Mytilus edulis: one gene and its partner. The protein of the gene in region 1 interacts with the protein of each later gene in a pairwise test. Links are inferred from orthologs where the notes say so. Each region holds a gene or a part of one and is shown on either strand. Other genes may lie near its edges.

Region 1 (6,297 bases):
ATACCATTACATGTTATGATATACATACATCATGTACATGTACAAAATGTAGTTCATATCACTTTATTGATAACATAAATGAAAAAGTGTGATAAAAGGTATTTGTTGTATTATATTACACCAAAGTCTGAGGTAAGAGGGCCGGGTTGAAGCACTCACAAACATGTTAAATACCACCACATTATTCAGGTTTATATCATGTGCCTCACAGTCCCAAGTCAGAAGCATGTAGTTCGTTGGTTGTTGTTGGTTAATGTCTGTCCTATTTGTTTTTAGAAAATTGTTTTGTTATAGATTAAAAAAATGTATATAATTAGGCCCTTAGTTTTAAGGTTTGAATTGTGTCACAATTTTCATGTGCTTTTATCATGTTTATATGTCTTTATAGTATGGGTTTTTCTCATTGCTGAAGGCAGTAATGAGTTTGGTTGCCAATAATTGCTTTGAACTCTGGTGTATAAATATCTCTTTGGCAATAATACCACACATTGCTACATCTCCTTTTATATTAACCCAAAATTTTATTTCTCAAAACAATGATTCAATAATTATAGGCATGATAAAACATTTAATAACTGAACTACATTTGTAAAACTAATTCTTTGATTTTCTAGCTAATCGTTTCGATCTAACAGTTTGGTTTCCACTTTCAATTACATAAGTTGTTTTCATATTTTGCTTATTGAAACCAATAATTTCTATATCAGTTCTTGGCAGCAACTTTGTAACTACCCCTGTCACAGTTGTCCTTTGTAGCTCTCTTACTGTAAATCTTGTCCCAACTTCAAAAACCATGGACTTTCTAGCCAACATTGTTATATTTACAACTTCACCAGGCATAATCATTTTTGTCTCCTCTGGTACTAATATGCAAGATTGTACTGTAAAATAATTGGTATACAGTAACTGCATGTACTTGTCAGTGATCGGTTTTGTCCGTCCTCCTTCAGCACGTGTTAGCACATAAATTTTTGCCTCAAAAGCATCATGCTGAGAAAATGCATTTGGTTCACATAAAAACATTCCTCTTGTTACAATATTACTTTTGATACCTCTCATGAGAACACCAACATTATCTCCCGCTTGGCATTCTGTTACAGATTTTTTGAAAACTTCAATATCAGATACCGCTGTTTTATGTGTTACTCCTTCTCCAAGTATTTGAGCTTGCTGTCCTTTCTTTATAATTCCATCTCTGAGTGTCCCAACTGCTACTGTTCCTCTTCCTCTGGCTGAAAACACATGTTCAACTGGTAAAATAAATGGTTTTGATAAATCACGAAATGGAATATCAATGTATTTATCTACAGCTTCCATCAGTTTTAATATAGAATCATGTCCAGATTTATCCCCTTTCAAAGCTTTCAATGCTGAACCCCTGACAACTGGAGTATTTTCTGAATCATATCCATATTCTTCAAGTAATTCCCTAACCTCAAGTTCAACGAGCTCTGCAAGTTCATCATCAACCAAGTCAATTTTGTTCAAGAAAACTACTAATTTATTTATTCCTATCTGTTTTGCTAATAACACATGCTCTCTAGTTTGTGGCATTGTGCCTTCTGATGCAGCAACGACAAGTATTGCCCCGTCCATTTGAGAGGTGCCATTAATCATGTTCTTAATGTAATCAATGTGACCCGGACAATCAGTGTGTGCATAATGACGAAGGTCGGTTTCATAACCAACATGACATGTATTTATTGTTATACCACGTTTTCTTTCTAACTCTGCTTTGTCAATATCCTCAAACTGCACAAATTTTGCTTTACCGTAATCGGACAAAACTTTTGTAATAGCTGCTGTTAATGTTGTCTTGCCATGGTCAATGTGACCTATTGTACCAACATTACAATGCGGTTTCCCTGGAGTTTCAGCTTCGTCATTTTTTTTCGTATAATTCCTGGTGGTTAGAAGATTTCTCGGGTAATTTGACGTAAAATTAATTAGTGATTGTTTATATAATGTACGAATACTGTAAAGAAATGCTCGGCGAACTACGTTCGACATGGTTGTATTTTTGGAGTTTATGCGGACTGGGGATGAAACGAAAATAATTTGTGTTGTAATTCTTCTATGAATTGACTCCTGTAATGAGGGCAACCATCAATATAGATATGATGTCGTCCGATATATATTAAATGCTCTGAACTAACGATTTTCGGTGCTTTTGTTATAATTAAGAATGAGAAGTTTCGTAAGTGACAGGTCATTTATAATCTGAAAGGGGTGGGAGGAAATTAAGAGGGCGTTGAAAAATATTTGGGTATACTTCAGATTTCCATGGCAGTGGCGGAATCAGAGGGGGCGTAGAGGTATTCTTTTTTTTTTGTAAAATGATTAATCAGACTAGACTTCGTAAACTTTGCAATTTCCCATGTACTTAATTTTTAGGCAGTGGCTATTTGATCGGCACCGGCTAAATAGCAAATTTGCTATTTGACCGGCACCGGCAAAATAGCAAATTTTCTATTTAGCTGGCACTGAATAAAATTGTTCATTGGTGTGACTAGTCATGTTAGTAGAGAATAAAAAAGCTTAATAATAATTTAAAATCATTTTATCACAATATCAAGCATTCAAATACAGTACAATCAAAAATAAAATATTGAAGATGTTCATATAAATAAATAATTTATAGCTTTATAACTTAATAATATTAATTAAAAGCATGAAAACACCATCGAAAGATCAAAGAACCAGCTGCAAACTGCAGTTCAACCGAGGAGCTCTGGTTAGTCTTTAAGATTAACTTAAACCAGAGTACGTGTGGCAAATCACATCCCGCACAAAACCGAAAAACAAAAAGACAGCCTGCCTTGGCTCACACCATCAGTACGCAAACTAATAAAACGCCGTGACAGATTGTACAAAAAACATAAAACGTCAGCTGATCTTGCAATAACATCCAAACTTAAAGAAACAAATCGAATGGTACAAAGAGAGCTCTGTCGTTCATATTGGAACTACAATGAGAACATCGTAACACCTAAGGAGGAAAACAACCAATTAGTAGTATGAAACGTTTCTGGACATGCATCAAACATCAGAAAACAGAAAGCAAGGGAGTTGCACCATTTCGCAGTGAAGGTATATAGCAGATAGATCTTGACCTGATAAACAATTTTACCCCACGTCAGATTTGCTCTTAACTCTTTGGTTTCAGAGATATAAGCTAAATCTACATTTTACCCCTATGAACTATTTTAAGCCATGGCTGCCATCTTGGTTGGTTGACACATTTTTTTAAATTTAAATTCTAGATACCATAATGATGATTGTGGCAAAGTTCTGGTAAATTTGGCCCAGTAGACGGACGACAGACGCAAAGTGATGAGACTGAAAGCTCACTTGACCTTTCAGGTCAGGTGAGCTAAAAAGTAGATGTTCAAATCTGTGTAAAATCTATGGTTTAAATATCCTGCCATACGATAACAATGGTGTTATGTAAAACTACGCACATCATAAAAAAGACAATATAAAAAGTTGTTTGCTACGAATTTCAAAAGGATTTAACATTTGCAATTGTTACAAAACCAATTCTTTGCCTTTAGAAGTTGTTTTAATCTAGCACAAGATAACTTTTGCCACTCCAAACAGGAACTACACATAATGTTATATGTCAGTTTGGTATGGCAAGTCGTTTGGTAAAGTTAACATACTTTTATGAGAGTTATCTCTCCTTAACCAGTCTTTGGTGTATTCATGCGGATTGCATTCCGTATTTGTATGATATGTTAGTTTATGTTGTTCTCTTGATTTATTGTTATGATACCATGTAGATGTGTTTTGGAAAAATAGAACATTATTATCTTGAAATAGTTATATTATTTATGCCAGATTGCAACATAAAATGGTGGAGGAACCCGGTTGTTAGTAAGAACATTCAAACACATTACTTATAACAAAACAACATCTATTTAAGCACGATCCTGTGAAATTAACCCCAGTGGGAAGGCGGCCATGCGGTCGGACACGTGGAAGTATTGCATTTTCTTGCGTACATAGCCTATGGAAAATCATTGGTAGACTTTGAACTGATTATTATAATTTCGATGTATTACGATTGGGATGATGATAAAGTAAGGTACAGTGACAGTGAGGAAGACTTGTACATAAACCCTTCGTATCGAGATATAACAATTCTAGACAATACTTTTGTAAACACATACCTTACAACATCGATAAACCATGATTCCGCAAATATACCTGCCTTCAATGATTTACCTAATTCTTTGAACGATCAACCCAATAAAAGCAAACCACCAAAGAAAAACATTATGGACAAATTAGCCTCCTGTAAAAAGTTTTCCGGATACCCCAAAGACAATGGCTCAAAATTTATAAAAGAATTTGAATCCTTTGCCACTCTCCATGAGCTTGATGATGCCAAAATTCTAGCAGCATTTCACCTCCATCTTCAGGGCCCCGCGCTAACATGGTACAACGGACTAACTTCTGGTTTAGACTGGCAAACAATTAAAGAACTTTTTAACGCTAAATATGTTAAATTCAACTGGGAAAATCCATCCGTCGTTATTGAAAATCAGTTATTCAATAGTTTGAAATTAAACCCTGGACAAGAGATTGAAGATTTTTATTGTCAGCTCGTAGAAAAAGCGGACTTGCTTTCCAAACCTGAACACGAAGTCATGTCAAAATTTGTTGATGGGTTGCCTGACAAACTTGCATTTTATGTCCGCGCAAGTAAACCAAAAGATGCATCAGACGCATTAACACTAGCGAAAACAGGCGAGGCGTATAAATACAGGGAATGTGAAAATACAGTTGCCGCCGCACGAAATATTTCAACAAGCCAATCCGAAATTTCGAGTTTAAGATCTCAAATGAATCAGCTGACCGATCTCATGAATGATATGAAAACACAAAAACAAACAGACTACAATGTAAAACCACCTATGGGCAACAATAATTTTTCTCACAACACATATCCAAGCGCACCACGTCGAAATTTGCCCTGCTATAAATGTAATGCAACAGGACACTTCAAAAGAAATTGTAATTGGAACGGTACGGGAAATCTCTCTCCTCAAAACATATGCCAATTATGCTCTCAAAATGGACATGTTGCTTTGCAGTGTTTTATTTTCGGACAAACAGTTCAACACAATGACACTAACATGCAATGCCAAATATGCAGACAGACGGGACATTCGGCAAAAGAATGCGGTCAACTTCAGAAGGGAAACTCTTTCCTCCTGGGGGCCACACAGCACGCTCCCCTAGGAGACCGTCCATAAGTGCTTCAAGAATTCGGAGTAGATCTAGATCTCGTGTAAATAAATGTATGAATGTAAATAAAGATTTTTGTGTTGAGAATATGACATTGTATACTGGTGAAAATGATGTAATTACGTCATCCGAAAATGATTCTGGTACTGATTCCTTCATTTCTTCGGACTCTACATTTTTATATTTAACTGTTCGTTTTGATTCTTTGAAAGTTTCTGCATTGATTGATACAGGAAGTTCAGTGAACATTATTTCAGAACAACTTTATGATTCGTTGCCGTATAGTAAGAAGTCAGATTTTAATGCAGATGTTCGTGAGTCCATTGTTTTAGCTAACAGTCAAAAGATTGAAGTTGTTGGTACGGCTTACGTACAAATGAATATTTCAAGAGCCAATCATCGTGTTTTTACTTATATTTTGAAAATGCCATCACATCCTATTATTTTGGGAACAAACTATTTAATTGCGAATAAAATGGTGATTGATTTTAGTGAAATGTCCGCTGTTCCAAAAACATCAAATGTATATTGTACAAAAAGGACAACGATTTTACCACATACAGAGACAATTATATGGGGAAAAGTTCCGTCAAATATTTATTATGGAAAACAAGGAATTTGTACGTCTAGTAAATATATTGTATCTAGAGGATTGGTTATTTCTAAAGGAGTCGTTTCTGTGTCAAAAGGTAGACTTATTCCAATTAAAATATTAAATCCAAACAGTTGTAGTATTGACTTGTATAAAGGAAAAACATTAGCTATGTTTGACGAAATTACATCTGAACACTCGCTTCTTCCGTTCAACGATACTACAGATCATTGCGTTCAAAACGTGAATTTGATAAACGATACAAATAGTGTAAACAGTAAAAGTTACCCGGTTAGGCTTGATTTTACTGTACAATCCGAGAACAACAACACGTTTAACAGTGAAATCACGGATTTTATTGCGAATTTTCTGTTTGAAAAATCTAATTTGGACAAAGTTCAGCGTAACGATTTACACAAGTTTTTGTACAAAAATAAAGACATTTTTGTGAC
Region 2 (7,365 bases), on another chromosome or scaffold:
TGGGGATATATTACTGTGCGTGTTGTTGTGTGATAGTTTTTTCTACATTGGATAGAGTTAAAGGGGGATGGTTGAGATCTAAAAATTATGTTTTTAACCCCGCCACATTTTTGTTTGTGGTCCAGCTGGAGCACGTCTCCAGGTGCAGGAGTTCCTGCTGGATTGAAGACCCATTGGTGGCCTTCCACTGTTGTCTGTTGTCTGTTCTTTGGACAGGTTGTTGTCTCTATTTGACACATCCCCCTTTCCCATTCTCAATTTTATATCTACAGAGACAGTGAGCTGAGGGTGGACATCTTACCTCTACCATAGTCACATGACTTTTATCATAAATTAAACCAACAAGTCCCTGAGCCATTTTCCTGTTCTGTAACTTTGTTGCTTTTGCCCATCCTTCTTTCTTTGCCTCTTCTTGTAACCATTTCTCTGCCTGTTAAATATCAACATATTCATGTTTATTTATACCAGATTTGTAATAGAGGAAAAAATATGAAGAAAGGGAATTTTATTTGTTTTACTTGATACTCAGAGTCAGAACCCTTTTCTCTTTTAATGATTTTGACATTCATGACATTTGTCCAAAACATTACTAATACATGTACAATATGATGTATAAACCTCTGACAAACAATGAAATATAAAAGTTTGATCAAAATTTGACAAATTGCAAGAACATAATTACAATATGATTATTATTTACAAACAGTATATATTTTAATAATATAAACTCTCATTTGAATGGCAATGATTTCTAAACTTGGCCTAGACATTCCAGATATAAACCTCTGGTATAACATAAGTAATTGTTATAAGTTTGATTAACATTTAAAAAGAACAGGATGGACATTAGATGTGTGCAGAGATGCATAGACATGATAGAGGGATTGGCACTCCCATTTTTCTCTTTTTTCCCCACAACCTGTGATGCATTCAGAGTACCATTAATCCTGTTAATAATATTAATATTTTATATTACTGTGAATTCAGAAATTATTGCGAGGTTTTTATTATTGCAAAAAATGCGACAGAGTTGTAAACGCATTAATTTAAACTCGCATTTTGAAATATTTTATATGAATTAAACAAGATTTTTCTCAAAATCGTTAAAATTAAAATTGCATTTAAGTCTCAAATCACAAAATCGCAGTAATAAATGCACGCAATAATTTCTGAATTTACAGTATATACATGATCATGATGATATATGTAAAGTTACACATACATTGTAGCAAGGAAAATCTCAAGTCTGTGTCCACATGTTAAAGACCCAATGTACCATTTAAATACAAACTGGACAAAATTACCTGTTCAACATTATTATCAAACTTCACTAAAGCTTTCTTGCAGTTAATGAAAGCAATTCCTGTCTTTTTCCTTAATTTACTGAGGGCAGCTTTATCTACTTGTGTACTGTAACATCTCATTAATCCTGTCCATCTGATAGCATGCTTTAACATTCTGTAACTATAAATATAAAGTATTAAAGCTTTATCAACCTGAGTACTATAAATCTCATTAATCCTGTCCATCTGATAGCATGCTTCAACATTCTGTAACTATATAAATATAAAGACTTTCTCAACATGTGCATGATGTGTCACATCTTATTAATTCACTCCACCTATAGCTATTCACAGCATTCTTACTGGTGTTTCACAAAGTAAAGAATAAGCCTAATTCTCATATACCATGTATACTGTAAATTCAGAAATTATTGTGATGTTTTTATTATTGCAAAAAATGGGACAGCATTATCATCGCAATAATTAAAACTTGCATTTTGATTTTTTTTTCTTTGAATCAATTAGGATTTTTCTAAATATCACAAAAATAAAAATCTTATTTTAGTCTAAAAGGACAAAATCTCAATAATAATTGCCCGCAATAATTTCTGAATTTACAGTATCAATTATTCATTATTTTTTGGGGTGTAGGATCTATTTAGAATGAAACAACTTGGGACAGAATGACTTTGGCCTATTACGAATGATTTGGATAATAGAAAAAGGTGTGTAATAAACCATTTTGTAGATAATTTAATGAAGGTTTAGTACATAACAATTTTCAATGGGACATGTGCATCATGTGCATGGGATAGATAACCACAAAAGTCAAAATGAAAATGTTCTTGTTATTATAGTATACATGGTATACGGTTAAGTTCGCCACCAGTACTTGTGATGTGTGAGTCTTGTGTACCCTATATGTGCTTATCACGGTCATCTAGTCCAAATAATTATGACGTCTTGAAAGGCTATTTAATTTGTAGACAAATTCGTAAGACGTTGAAGCTAAAAACTAAATTTACCTTTCAAGACGTCATAATTATTTGGACTATGCAGTAACTAACAACTTATTGGGTTATTTGCATGTTGATACTGTAAAATATCAGCTGTGAGTCACAGTATGAAGCTTCAGGTCAAACTTATCCATGTCTGCTCAAACATTTTGAAGTCGCAGATATGATGTCCAGTTCAAATTTATTAAGGCCAGGTCAATATATTAAACGTTACAAAGCCTTGATATGCAATTTATTAAGAGCTGAGCAGATTGAACAGAGGGACTACATATAATCATGCTTATCGCCAAATTCCCTTATATATCGTCATGCATGTTTAGTTTAATCTAGTCCAAATAATTATGAACTAATCATGGTCATGTAAGGCTATTTTAATTTATTCTGTGATGACTTCCAACTTAATTTCAATAGCCTTTCAAGACTCTAATGTATGTAATGGTAAATTCCTTCGATATCCAAAACCCCTAGAGAGCTGCCAAGGTACGGTGGAATCCATTTACACTCCCTATCGGGATTAATGCAGATGTGTCACTAACGTATTTACAATGTTTAACATTTACAAGGACAATCCCCAACCCAACACCAGTGTGTTTTAGTACACCGGGTAGTAAACTTGTAAATACAACATAACAAATCATGAAATACTGAAAATAGGAAAAACTGTTAATTTGGGAACTCGTTTGGTGACAAAAACATCACAAATCATAATATAGGACAATGATTTGAGAATGCATATTTTCGTTTTGATCAGATACAGAGCAGGTTACATAAATTTCACAACCTTGAGAGAACGTGCAACTATTGGGGACGTTAGTGATGAGGGGATGAGATGAGTATTCTATTGCAAGTTATTTGAAAGTACTAAAAGGTATGCTACAGCTCCGAACCCACATTATATTATCCACGCTTTTCATACTCGCTATAAACGCACATCTTGTCAATTCCATGGGTTTAGCATGACGATTGTGTTGAAAATTGCTTAGAAGTAAAATCTAGACATGTAAGATCAGCATATCTTTATCATTTTATAATGAAGATGTTTTGCTTTAATTTAATATATGCAACCAAGGATGGATTTGTATAGTATATTTACTATACAAATCCTTGATGCAACCTAATTTTTGTTTTTGTTCTTTTCTTAATTGTTCATGAACATTAACAATGTGTTAACTGTTGATATTTATAGCCTTTTTCTTCTTCGCTGTGAATACCACTGTCACTCTAATATAATTATAATCAATTTAACTATTGTCAGTTTATTGTCTTAATTTTGTATGCCATAACTATTTAATGTAAATGTGTTTGTGCGAATAAAATATTGACTATTGTCTATTGTCTATTTAATTTATAGAATCCAGTCAGCAAGGTTCAAAATATTAAAGGGAAATTCCGCGATTTTTTACTTATCATTTAATTATGTTCATCTTAACATAAAAAAACACATTTGCAAAGTTTTAAATTTATATTCCTTCTAATAACGGAGAAAATCAAGTATTTGTAACTTTTTTGGTTGAATTCTCGAGTGGGTCGTGACGTATTAGCCCGATTTATTGAATTCTGGGAAAAAATAAAATCTGTTTAACTCTTATAGCTTATCGACAATATACGTAATTAAAAGCGCACAGCTGACGAATGGTCGAAGTTGTAAACCACAATATAAGAATGAACGAAAGTGAATATGCATATATATACCGTTTTGTATTGATTGAATTAAACTCCTATAAAATTATCTCTAGTAAATGTTTTTGAATAAATTTAATTAATTATTGTTGAGATTTTTTTCATAAAATATTTATTGAACATTTTTACTGATATTGAACTAAAAATATTTCAGTTCTATTTACCGTTATTGTTTTGATAATCATTTCAATGCAACTAATGTGTGAGCAGAGTGTGTATATTATTTTGTAAAGGTCACTGTATATGTCTCGGCTTGAGGTCAATTCGTTTACCTTGTAGCTATTTAGCCGCAGGTGTGAGTTCAAGCGTACACAGGTATAAATGTTGTTATTTGGAAAGGATAAATACACGGCCGACACTCGGCTAACCGAGAGATTGGTCAGTTAATCTATATTGAGTATGCGGCTATATCGGCAGTGGGTCTGTTAATCGGGTTGGCTAAAGGCTGTTAATCAGGTATTATCGAGAAAATCATTGAAAACTCAGAATGTTTCATTGTATAACCTTTTAAATATATGTTTATCATAAAAAATATTTATGTCTGACAAAACTATTCAATGTACTGAATCCATAGGTGTAATTATTATTTTTCTAGCTTCTATGTACGATCTATAAAATGAAAAGGCAAATTACTCATCAGTAAATTTATACACATTTTACACACACAAAATGTACACAAAATGACACTTGGGTTGAATTTACTTGCATGCACTATTTTGAACATCGAAAAAAGACAGGCATTATGAGTGTTAACCAAATTGATATCATTTTGTGAAAACTCTACACGAAAATCTGTATTTTGGTGACATAAATCAATCTTTATTAAAAACCTGGTCTGTTAATGGGTCGGATGTATAAAACCCGGTCTGTTAATTAGTCTGTTAAGAGTTATGAATGACAATAAAAGTATAATTTTATTACTTTATGGTGTGTTCATTTGGTAGGCTCAAGACGAGCGGCTAAAATATACGGAAACAACACTTGAGCAATGGAACATAAAATATATACGGAAACAAAACATGAGCAATGGAATATAAAATATACGGAACAAAACACATGAACAATAACAATGTAGGCAATGGATATTGAAAATTGATAAAAATGGTTTCAAAAAGTGTTAAATTAAAGTAAAATTGATTTTATCCGAGAATGGTCGCATATATCATGTGGATTCTGTTTAATTGTCATTAATGACACCAATGTGTCATCTACATTGGTAACCAGTATATAAATCAGAGATTAACGTCGTAATGTAACTAAACATCAGTATATTGGGATGCCTAAATATAAAGAATAGAGAAGAATAATGGGTAAGATAAATAAAATGTAGAGAAAAGTAACATAACCATTTAAAGAATACAGAAATAAACAACACCCCCCAATCCGTACCCTCATGGTATACACGAGAATCTGGATGGAGATACAGAATACAAAATAAAAGATAAGGACAGTAGAGAGTGATGCATTGCTAAAAAAGAGAAGAAAACAAATTGTTTAAGAATAAAGACATGAAACCCCCTGGGTGTTGAAACAGTAACGGATTGCGATGTACTCATATTGGTGACAAATGCTTGACGTTTACATGTGGACACCTGCAGTTCTCCTCTGCACATATGTAGAAAAGGAACTAAACGGAATAAAATGAATTAAATTTTAATACAACCAAATGTAGCTGCATTCGCTCCTTTCCATTTATTTCTTTAGAATGATTTGTAAACAACAGATGATTAAGTAATACAAGAAAGAAAAACAATTGGATGATGCTGAGGAATTAGGATTAAGGTGGTACCGAACACTTTTACTAAAATCAATGTGGTTCGTTTAATTTGAATAAAATTTTGACAAAGTATTTAATTTGAACCTTTAACAGAAATATAAAAATTTCAAAAAATTTGAACCAACCGTTTTGTCAGAAAAATTTAAAACTGGTTATATAGCAGTTTGACAAACACCAATTTTGATCTTCGAGAAGCTTATTATTCCCTTTACAACACAACGTAATAAAACGTATCACTGACTTTACAGAGTTATCTCCCTGTAATGTTGGGTACCACCTAAACGTCCAGTGACAAATGTCATGTGCATATGAAAACGACAACACGTTATATATGTACCCTGTGTTGTATTAGGAAGACACGTTCAATCGGATTTGAGAACATGCTACTTTGAGCAGACACAAAAATTAAGGCTGATTGAAATCGTTAATAATAAATTCATGCATATTCCAGCGACCAACCCAGATCACGCTATATTGAAGTGACATACTCTTGAGTAAAATGAAAAGAAAGTCAAAATAAAAATGCTTTTACTGGAAGGATAGTGTTGCATCGTATTATTATTTTTTGTCGAGCCTTCGACTTTAGTCGAAAAAGCGAGACTAAGCGATCCTACATTCCGTCGTCGTCGGTGTGTCGTCGTCGGCGGCGTCCACAAATATTCACTCTGTGGTTAAAGTTTTTGAAATTTTAATAACTTTCTTGAACTATACTGGATTTCTAACAACCTTGGACAGAAGCTTGTTTATGATCATATTAAGATAGTATCCAGAAGTAAATTTTGTAAAAATAAAATTCCATTTTTTCCGTATTTTACTTATAAATCATGGACTTAGTTTGTTCTGCGTGGAAACATTACATTCACTCTGTGGTTAAAGTTTTTAAAGTTTTAATAACTTTCTTAAACTATCCTTAGTTTGTACCAAACATGGACAGAAGTTTGTTTATGATCATAAGATAGTATCGAGAAGTAAATCCATTTTTTTCCGTATTTTACTTTTGAATGGAATTAGTTTTTCTGCGGGGAAACATTACATTCACTCTGTGGTTAAAGTTTTTAAAAAATTATTAACTTTCTTAAACTATCCTGGGTTTGTACCAAACTTGGACAGAAGCTTATTTATGATCATAAGATAGTATCCAGAAGTAAATATTGTAAAAAGATAACTCCATTTATTCTGTATTTTACTTTTAAATGGACTTAGATTTTCTTCCAGTTAACATTACATACAGTCTGCAGTTAAAGTTTTCAAAACATTTATTAGATTCATTCACTATCCTAAATTTTTACTAAACTTGGACAGAAGCTTCTTACAATCATAAGATAGTATCAAGAGGAATATTTTTTATTGTTTTTTTCCCTCATTTTTGTTGAGCCTGCGATTTACAGCAAAAGTAGGCGAGACACTGGGTTCCGCGGAACCCTTACAATATTTTTTTTTACTCAAGAACATCTCATTTTAAACATTTTCAATGGGAAAATATAAAGGTAGCACAACTATTTTCGTGGCTAAATAACTCTTAACTGACACAATTTCAATTGTCCAACCCATTAACAGACTTTATTCACATAATATTCACTAAAACGTGGTATTACTCACGTTATATTAC

Evidence for each region.
Region 2: the proteins of elongation factor Tu-like (region 1) and elongation factor Ts, mitochondrial-like interact in a two-hybrid assay, tested with the Drosophila melanogaster proteins (2 studies listed by BioGRID). The link is inferred for Mytilus edulis from reciprocal best matches to the Drosophila melanogaster genes mEFTu2 and mEFTs.

Annotation. Positions count from the first base shown.
Region 1 is NW_027268536.1:62,367-68,663, forward strand, and holds elongation factor Tu-like, read right to left. Parts: upstream 2,049-6,297; 5' UTR 2,011-2,048; coding exon 595-2,010; 3' UTR 549-594; downstream 1-548.
Region 2 is NC_092357.1:70,779,286-70,786,650, forward strand, and holds the start of elongation factor Ts, mitochondrial-like, read right to left. Parts: upstream 3,168-7,365; 5' UTR 3,081-3,167; intron 1,465-3,080; 5' UTR 1,458-1,464; coding exon 1,305-1,457; intron 431-1,304; coding exon 302-430; intron 1-301. UniProt on the Drosophila melanogaster protein: Associates with the EF-Tu.GDP complex and induces the exchange of GDP to GTP. It remains bound to the aminoacyl-tRNA.EF-Tu.GTP complex up to the GTP hydrolysis stage on the ribosome.